2 linked regions of the Nothobranchius furzeri genome follow. The protein of the gene in region 2 purifies or fractionates together with the protein of the main gene of each other region. This does not show direct contact. Links are inferred from orthologs where the notes say so. Each region holds a gene or a part of one and is shown on either strand. Other genes may lie near its edges.

Region 1 (3,964 bases), on a different chromosome or scaffold from region 2:
CTGAAAAGCACGTTTTCTTATGAATAAAAAAAATTCCTAATAAATAAAAGTTGTGTATCGTGTGTAACGCACCAGTCCCATATCGTCGGCCAGAATGCCCCCCCGAACCCTCCCCGGTGGTTCTTTAGCAGAGAAGCAGGTGAGGCTGTTGTAGTACAGCTCGCCTCTCTTCTCCCAGCACGGCGGCAGCGCGTCTTTGTTTTCCCGAGCGCACATCCAGGACAGAGCTTGTTTCTGATGAGGCAGGAGGGCGGTGGCCACAGACTGAAGGGAAAAAAGAAGAAGAATTTTTGTAAAAAAAAACAAAAAGGTGTAGTATAATTAAGAGAATTCATCAAATAAGATCATATTTACCTCAACTGCTTCTTTCTCTCCATCTTTACTCTCCATCAAACCGTCAAACAAGTTATCAAACGCGTTCTTAAGCTGGAGGATAAAAACAAATGGAAAATGTTTAAGAATTTTCAGAATCAAATTAATTCAAGTATAAACAATATTATCTGTATCTCTGGAAGAAACTGGCTCAGATTTAATGACCTCCTCTGCTGTCAGTGGGACGGTCACACCCTTCTTGTATGAGGAGGCCGAGGTGCCATACAAAGCCAGGCTTCCACCTGAAAACAAACAAAAGTGAGTGATAATAAAGGTGTTGATTAAAAAGATGCAATGAAAGAAAATGGGAGCTCACCGGTTGGCGAGCCTGGATTAAGTTTATACCCTCGACTCGCCATGTGCTTCATTACAGTGTTCCTGTCCTCTTCCTTCCCCCAGAATGACAGCATAACTGGCATAGAGAAGGGGTTGTTCACACCTGTGTGCACCACCCTAGCAATGAGTGTTTCATAGTTACTGGTTTTCATGTGGGATCCTTTAAGAAATCTTATTCTGAAGTAATCAGAGCTCACCCTTCGACTTTAGCCAAGCTTCTGTCCATCATATAGGCCATAGCTGCAGCCAGCTCCTTTTTGATGTGTCCAACCTGGTTTCCATAGATGTTTGTGACCTTCACCGCGTTACTGTCATACGGATTCTGAGGCTCCCGCACTAAACCCACCATCTCTCCTCGGTTCACCTGCCCAGAGCAGAGCAGATCGGTTAATGAGGGTCTCTGAACATTTTACCAAATGTCTCGAGATGTTATCACAAAGTCACTAAACTATAACTAATAACCACTAAAAATGTCCCACTTTTCATTGTTTCAATAGAGAAAATTCATCAGGACAGAAGTTCAGCTGTTTATTTGGTTGAGATCAAAACACCAAAAGGACTTTCATGGAACTGACAGCTCCAGTCTTTCAAGAGACACCTGGCTGCAGCTCAGACTTCAGGGGAAGCAAACATGATGAAACCAGATCACGATGCAACACGATGCAACACAGGGACAGTGAGTTTGAGGAATTTGCAGCACTTGTGAACTACATCTAGGAGGTCTGCCAAAGGAGAAGACATGTGTCATCTTGGATTCTTATTTAAGAATCTCCTCAGACCACCTGATGATCCAGCTGATCCTCTCACACAGGCAGAAGCTGGAGCTCAGCAAGCCGACAGTGAAGACTGCTGCATCCTGAGTCCTCACTTATCAACCGTACTTACGCACCGATCTGTACACATGTCATGCGTAGCAACTAATTTACGCATTGTGTGGTATTCATCATTTTGTACGTGTGCGTGAAAATGTTTCTACATAGAACAAAATCTCAGACCGTGTGTACAAACAGCATCTAGTGCTAGAACTGGGAAACCGTCCACACGTGTTCCTCATCCACAAACTATTTTAAGCAGTAATTATTTCAGTGGAAAAAGAGCATTGTCACATAACTGATGCCAAAACATTTAAAAGACATCTGTGACCGACGGAAACCCGACATTGTAAAAGGGCTGATCTTGTGTTATCAGAGGATTTGGCAGAACGTCCACTCTGGAGGGAACACATCCTCCATGAGCGCACTGATCTATGATCTATGCTTTTAATTTGGGACCCTGTGTGGAGCGACAGACAAACCGCGCAAATCCGATTCCAGCCCATACTCTATTTTACAACTACGAAAACCCTCCAGAACCTTCTCTGCTCCCCAATCGTGCACTTGTTGCCAAGATAACCAAACTGAATGACAGACAGCTCAGAAGAGGCTGCAGTGTCAGACATTTCCAAATAAAATTAACTACAAACAGAATGACTTCTTAAATGTAAATGACAATTAGTTACGCTATGATTTATCATATTCAATTGATGTGGAACCATTTTCATTTATTCCTGACAGACCTCTCCTCTGCGTTTACAACCTCTGCCACCTGTTTGGTTCTCTCGCACTTCAGCAGCCGGTGCCTCGATCTCGCTGTCAGTCAAGCTTTTTTTCCAGGAGGAATGCAGGGATTCCCCTCACATGCTGAGGACGTAGTGTGACCAAATATGGTGAATTGAGTGTGTTTCTGTATGTAAATGACAGTGAAAGGACACGAGCATCTGGATATCACAGGTGGGATTTATTAACAGCTGATTATGGAGGAACATGCACACGAATGGTCACTGCATGTCTCATAAATCAGGATTTTGCTCGTTCGCACCACCACCCTAAATTTCGTTCGTAGGAAGGAATATAGTATTATTTCTGCGAACATTTGACGACAAGGCCTCAGGTTCACATCAGAGTTCAAGCAGCTCAACAGACTGAGGAGACGTTCAAGAGTGGGGGGATGATGACTTGTAGAGTCAGGCTAAACCACTAACCATCGCCTCTGTCAGTGGGCCCAAGGGCAGCTGTGGCTACATCGTAGCTCATCACCATCAGTGTGAGAATGTGTGTGTGTGTGTGTGAATGAATGAATGAATGAATGAATGATACACTGTAGTGTAAAGCGCTTTGGAGTCCTTACTCTGAGAGGCGCTATTCAAGTGGTCAATTATCATTATCATTTACCATTCACAGCTAACGACTCTGGGGTCTCCCAGAGAGATCACCAACTACAAACACAAAGCAACAACAGACTAGCTAATGACATCATTATCTTCTACTGCCCTGTTCACATCCACCACCTAAACTTCTGTTCATCTCCAAGATCTTGGAAAAGGTTGTGGCTAAACAACTCACAGCTGCTCTTGATGAACATAACACCTATGATAGCTTCCAGTCAGGTTTTTGTAGAGCTCATTCTACTGAAAAAGCTCTTCTTAGGGTCTCGAATGACCTTCTGACTCACAGTGATGCAGGGGACTGTTCTGTTCTGGTCCTGCTGGACCTGACTGCAGCCTTTGACACTGTTGACTATCACCTGCTACTGGAGAGGCTGAGAGACTAGGTAGGCCTATCAGGAACTGCTCTGGAGTGGTTCTCCTCTTATCTTTCTGAGCGTTCCTTTTCTGTGGCCGTCTCCAACTTTAGGTCCTCCACCACCTCTCTTACCCATGGTGTCCCACAAGGTTATGTGCTGGGGCCTCTGCTCTTCCTCCTCTATCTGCTTCCTCTTCAGCACATCCTGAGCTCCTTCAAAGTAATCTCCTACCATCCTTATGCAGATGACATCCAACTGTACATCTCCTTTAAGCCCCATGAGACATCTCAGCTGCAGCTGTTACACACCTGCTTAGACTCTATCAAAACCTGGATGGCTGGGAGCTTTCTTCAGCTGAATGAAGATACGACTGAGATCCTCATCTGTGCCCCAGACAAGCTGGTTCCCAAAGTCAGAGACTCTCTTGGTCAGCTTGCTTCCCACACCAAACCTTCTGTCAGGAATCTTGCCGTGACCTTTGACCCAGCTCTCACCCTGGATCCTTATGTCAGTTCTCTTGTTCGCTCTTCCTTCTTCCATCTCAGGAACATTGCTAAGCTGAGTCCCATTCTGTCCCGCTCTGAACTTGAGACAGTTCTCCACACCTTCATCTCCTCACACTTAGACTACTGTAACTCTCTTTTCACGTGTCTGAGCAGAACCTCCCTGAACCGTCTAAAGGTGGTTCAGAACG
Region 2 (3,964 bases):
CAATATGTCACATGGTGAGAGGCACTAAACAAAAGCTACTGGCTTTTATGGTTTTGCTACTGAGATTGTTGTTAATAAAAGGTTATTTGAGTGGAGGTTTCTGGAAACGGCTTTGTGTTCTTCTGCGCTCTTTAACCCAACAATGCCTTAAAGCAATCTTAAAGAGCAAGTCACCCCCAAATCAACTTTTTTTTTTGCTGATAAACTATATAAATGTGTGTCTAATTGTGCTGCAGACATGTGTGGTCAATAATTTGGTACTTCAGTGCATTTTAGTTAAAATTTAAATATTCTGCCTAAAACTGTCAGTGTTGCACCGTCGTCGGGTAAAAACTCTGCACTGCATTGGAATTTAAATCTGCCACCGCTGTTGGCTAAGAGGTATGCTATGATGGAAACTGATACATTTTGATGTCACAATGCCGTTGTGAGCCTGTGTGTGTGTGTATTTGTTAGCGGCTCCGCCCTCTCTGTCTGCTAGGCAACAGCATTTGTTGCATTTTTCAAACAGGAAGTGAGAGTTGATTAAGAATCTGGTTGGGGTGACTTGCTCTTTAAGTTTGTCCTTATTTACAAAGTGTCAGACATGAAATCCACATTTCAATCTGGTTTTAAAACAAAGAGCACCATATTGGGGGGTCTCAGCTTGAAGGACAAAGTCCTGGGGGAGACAACACAGCCTCCCTAAAGCACATGGAGAACGCGGGGAAAAGACTGCTAAGTCACTTACAGACAGGATGAGGCGGTACTTGAAGTTGGGGAAGTCTTTATCGCACTTCTCACAGCGGAACATGCCGTTGTGCTGGTCGACCACTTTTTTGTTGCAGTCTTGGGTCGGGCAGGCCTGATAAAGGCAGTTCTCCTTCCGCAGAAACACCACGGTGGCTATGCAGGTGTAGTAGTCGGCCTGGATGAAAACAACATCAGCAGATGTTCAAGACGGTCTTCATGACCTTTATGTTGTGTGGGGAACATGTCGACAAAACTGCACCAACATTATATTAAGAAAAGGAGAATTCAGAAAGAAAATAAATAAATAAAACGTTCCGATTACGGTTAAACTACCAACAAGAGTCTGCCGACTAGCGGGCAGGACGCGAGCTTCGCATTCTAGATCATCAACCAGGAATAAGCAACAGCAAAGCAGGCAGCGTGAACAGGACTGAAACCGTCGGCTACAGAAAGGTTTTAACGCACTTTAATAGAAAGATGTAAGCAAACCCGTCGCATCACAACAAATCCATGTTGCACCCTGACATCTGCATGACTTTGTCCTACGTTTTGCAAATCCCTGGAGAAATCCTCCAACAGAAGGGAATCTGGGCCAGTGCACACTTTGATAAAAGATAAAAGGCACTTGTTCCAGCTTACACCGCGGGCACGCCACCTTAGTGCCTCCCGTCGTAAAACGCCTGCGGTGATTAGATAAATAACTTGAGCGCACACGACAAAAACGCCCATCCAGATGTCACCCGTCACTGCCTTTTCAGTAAATGTCTAATTAGTGCGACGCTGACCGGTGAGAGGAGGAAGGAGAGGAAAACTCTGTTCTTCATGTCGTGACCGACTCTTACAAGTGGTGTCAGGAGAAGGTTCCTGCTTACTCTCAGAAAAGGACACGGCGTCGTGGACACACAAAGACAGATCTAGCTGGCGGGGTCTTAAGAAGGCTGACCCTCTCTTCTACTCCTGCTCACACCATTTGTGTGAGGCATTTGAGGAGAGCCCCTTTGCCACAATCAGGTCTCATCACATCACACTGAGAAAGAACGAAGGTCTTTGTGTAACCCCCAACAATTGTTGATCCGTCCAAATTTTATGTAAGCAACACTGAAGAGTTTGACACTTTAAGCTATTGCTTTCAAAATGGTTTTAGTGGTTCTTCAGCCAGAAACGTGAGCAGATTCCCACTGGACAGCACTCAGCAGCCCTCTGCTAACCAGAAACGGCACTAAACTACTTTAGTGGTCCGGGTAAGCAGCCTGCCTGCTTTGTTGTGCCGGTAGCTCAAATAAAGGCTGGCGGTTTGATGACCATCAATAAAAAGCCCCAAAACTTTTTGTTGGCATCATGGCCAGACCTTAAAGTAAAAAGTTGCTTTTGGATGGATGAAGAAAAACTTGAGAAGTAATAGATTACAAAAAAAGCTCACGTAAATTCAATAAGTCAAATACTGTGTGTGTGTGTGTGTGTGTGTGTGTGTAAATTTGTTCATCAAAACAAATATTTTGTGTTTTTCTTTTCTTAAATTCATGCACTTTATTTCTAATATTTTCTATGTCATGAGGACATTAATATGAAGTCCATGGTTAATTACTAGAAACTTTGCAAAGGTCACATTTGAACAAGAAACTTTCTACAAACCTGTAAGAACATCTTTTTAAAAGGGAAATGAAGGGAAATGTATTGCTTTACTTGTTTCATTGCAGAAAGCAGGAATGGACCCAATGTAATCTTCATAATCAATAGCAGAGATAAATGTGACTTTCAGCGTGAACATCCACCGCAGTGCGAGGACACCAACGATGCAGAGGGATTAATGAGCGGAGGGAGATAAATGTTACTCAAATCAGATTTTTAAGCACATCTACCAGGCGGTGCAGTAAAAATTATATGGTATCGATTATAAAGATTCATCACGCCGACACGGAGCTAAAAACCTTTCTTCTGAAGTGAAGAAAAAACCAAAGCTGCAGCGTTAAACACCCGTACGACCCTCACACGGTCAGAACAGATCCTGCTCGAGTCGCTCGATTCATTAAGAATCTTTCAGTTTGTTCTTAAAACTCTTCAGTCGTGCTTGAATAGCATCATGTCTGGAGTCACTATGATGTTGATATTTCATGGCGAGGAGACACACGTCTACCTTTTCTCCGTGTCCCAGATGCTCGTTCTTCACGTCGGACAAAGTCTTCCAGTTGGTGCTTCCTCCTCCGCTGCCCTTCGTCTCCGTCAGAGACTGTCCATCCATGGCGTGGCCTTCTTTGTCAAACCTGCAGAAATCCAAGTCAGTCGGTGACTGCTGACAGGAGCTCAGTTTAAGTAGAACAATTACACGGTTCAGGCTGATAAGTAACCGGTTAGGCGTTGCACTGGTTGATACCTGGAATGTTAGGAAACTAGTTTATCCTTTTGCTGGTTTAACTAAGCAGAGGGATTTCATTAGCAGAGCATAAAAGAAAACAAGATCAGATAAAAAGACTTTCTGCTTCAGTTCTTGGGCAGTTCTGTTCAACTTGACATTTCAAAGCAATCATAGTGGGTGAAGTAACAAGTCAAGTTTTAAATGTGTGAAAGAACCTCAAGCGCCAACGCTAAAAGGAGGTTTGTTCACTTTGTGCAGCTTCTTCACCTTACCGTGAACAAAACTGACGCACAAACACCTCAACACGAGGAACAAAGGTTGCCAGATCCACTTCAGGAAGTTAGACGGGCGTATGATGAAAATTTGTAAACTGAAATCTGGACTCACATTTGATTGGTTTAACAATGAGTCGGCATGTTAAAGTGACAGTGTGCATTTTCCCTGGCGACAGGGGGCAGTTAGGGCTGGGTGATTAATAGAAAATGCATCGTTATCTAAAATTCTAACTAACCGATATAATTTCTTCTAATGACAATAAATTCAATTATTAAAAAAATTAAAAGATGTGTGGCAGTTGGTGACGTTCACGTCCCTTTAAGAAGCCGTACCACCTGGAGTCACATGAAAATGGTAAATGGCCTGTATTTGATATAGCACCTTTGAGAGTCTTGGAACCCCCCAAGGTGCTTTACAACACAATCAGTCATTCACCCATTCAAACACACATTCACACACTGGTGGGGATGAGCTACGATGTAGCCACAGCTGTCCTGGGGCGCACTGACAGAGGCGAGGCTGCCGAGCACTGGCGCCACCGGTCCCTCCGACCACCACCAGCAGGCAACGTGGGTTAAGTGTCTTGCCCAAGGACACAACGAC

What was found. Proteins that work in one complex are often made in the same cells at the same time.
Region 1: the proteins of rpa1 (region 2) and hltf purify together in Homo sapiens (affinity purification with mass spectrometry, with the first as the bait; 4 studies listed by BioGRID). This does not show direct contact. The link is inferred for Nothobranchius furzeri from reciprocal best matches to the Homo sapiens genes RPA1 and HLTF.

What each region holds. Positions count from the first base shown.
Region 1 is NC_091758.1:23,578,443-23,582,406, forward strand, and holds part of hltf (helicase-like transcription factor), read right to left. Parts: intron 1,073-3,964; coding exon 906-1,072; intron 826-905; coding exon 689-825; intron 615-688; coding exon 538-614; intron 427-537; coding exon 355-426; intron 265-354; coding exon 73-264; intron 1-72. UniProt on the Homo sapiens protein: Has both helicase and E3 ubiquitin ligase activities. Possesses intrinsic ATP-dependent nucleosome-remodeling activity; This activity may be required for transcriptional activation or repression of specific target promoters.
Region 2 is NC_091753.1:47,677,245-47,681,208, reverse strand, and holds part of rpa1 (replication protein A 70 kDa DNA-binding subunit), read right to left. Parts: intron 2,994-3,964; coding exon 2,867-2,993; intron 908-2,866; coding exon 731-907; intron 1-730. UniProt on the Homo sapiens protein: As part of the heterotrimeric replication protein A complex (RPA/RP-A), binds and stabilizes single-stranded DNA intermediates that form during DNA replication or upon DNA stress.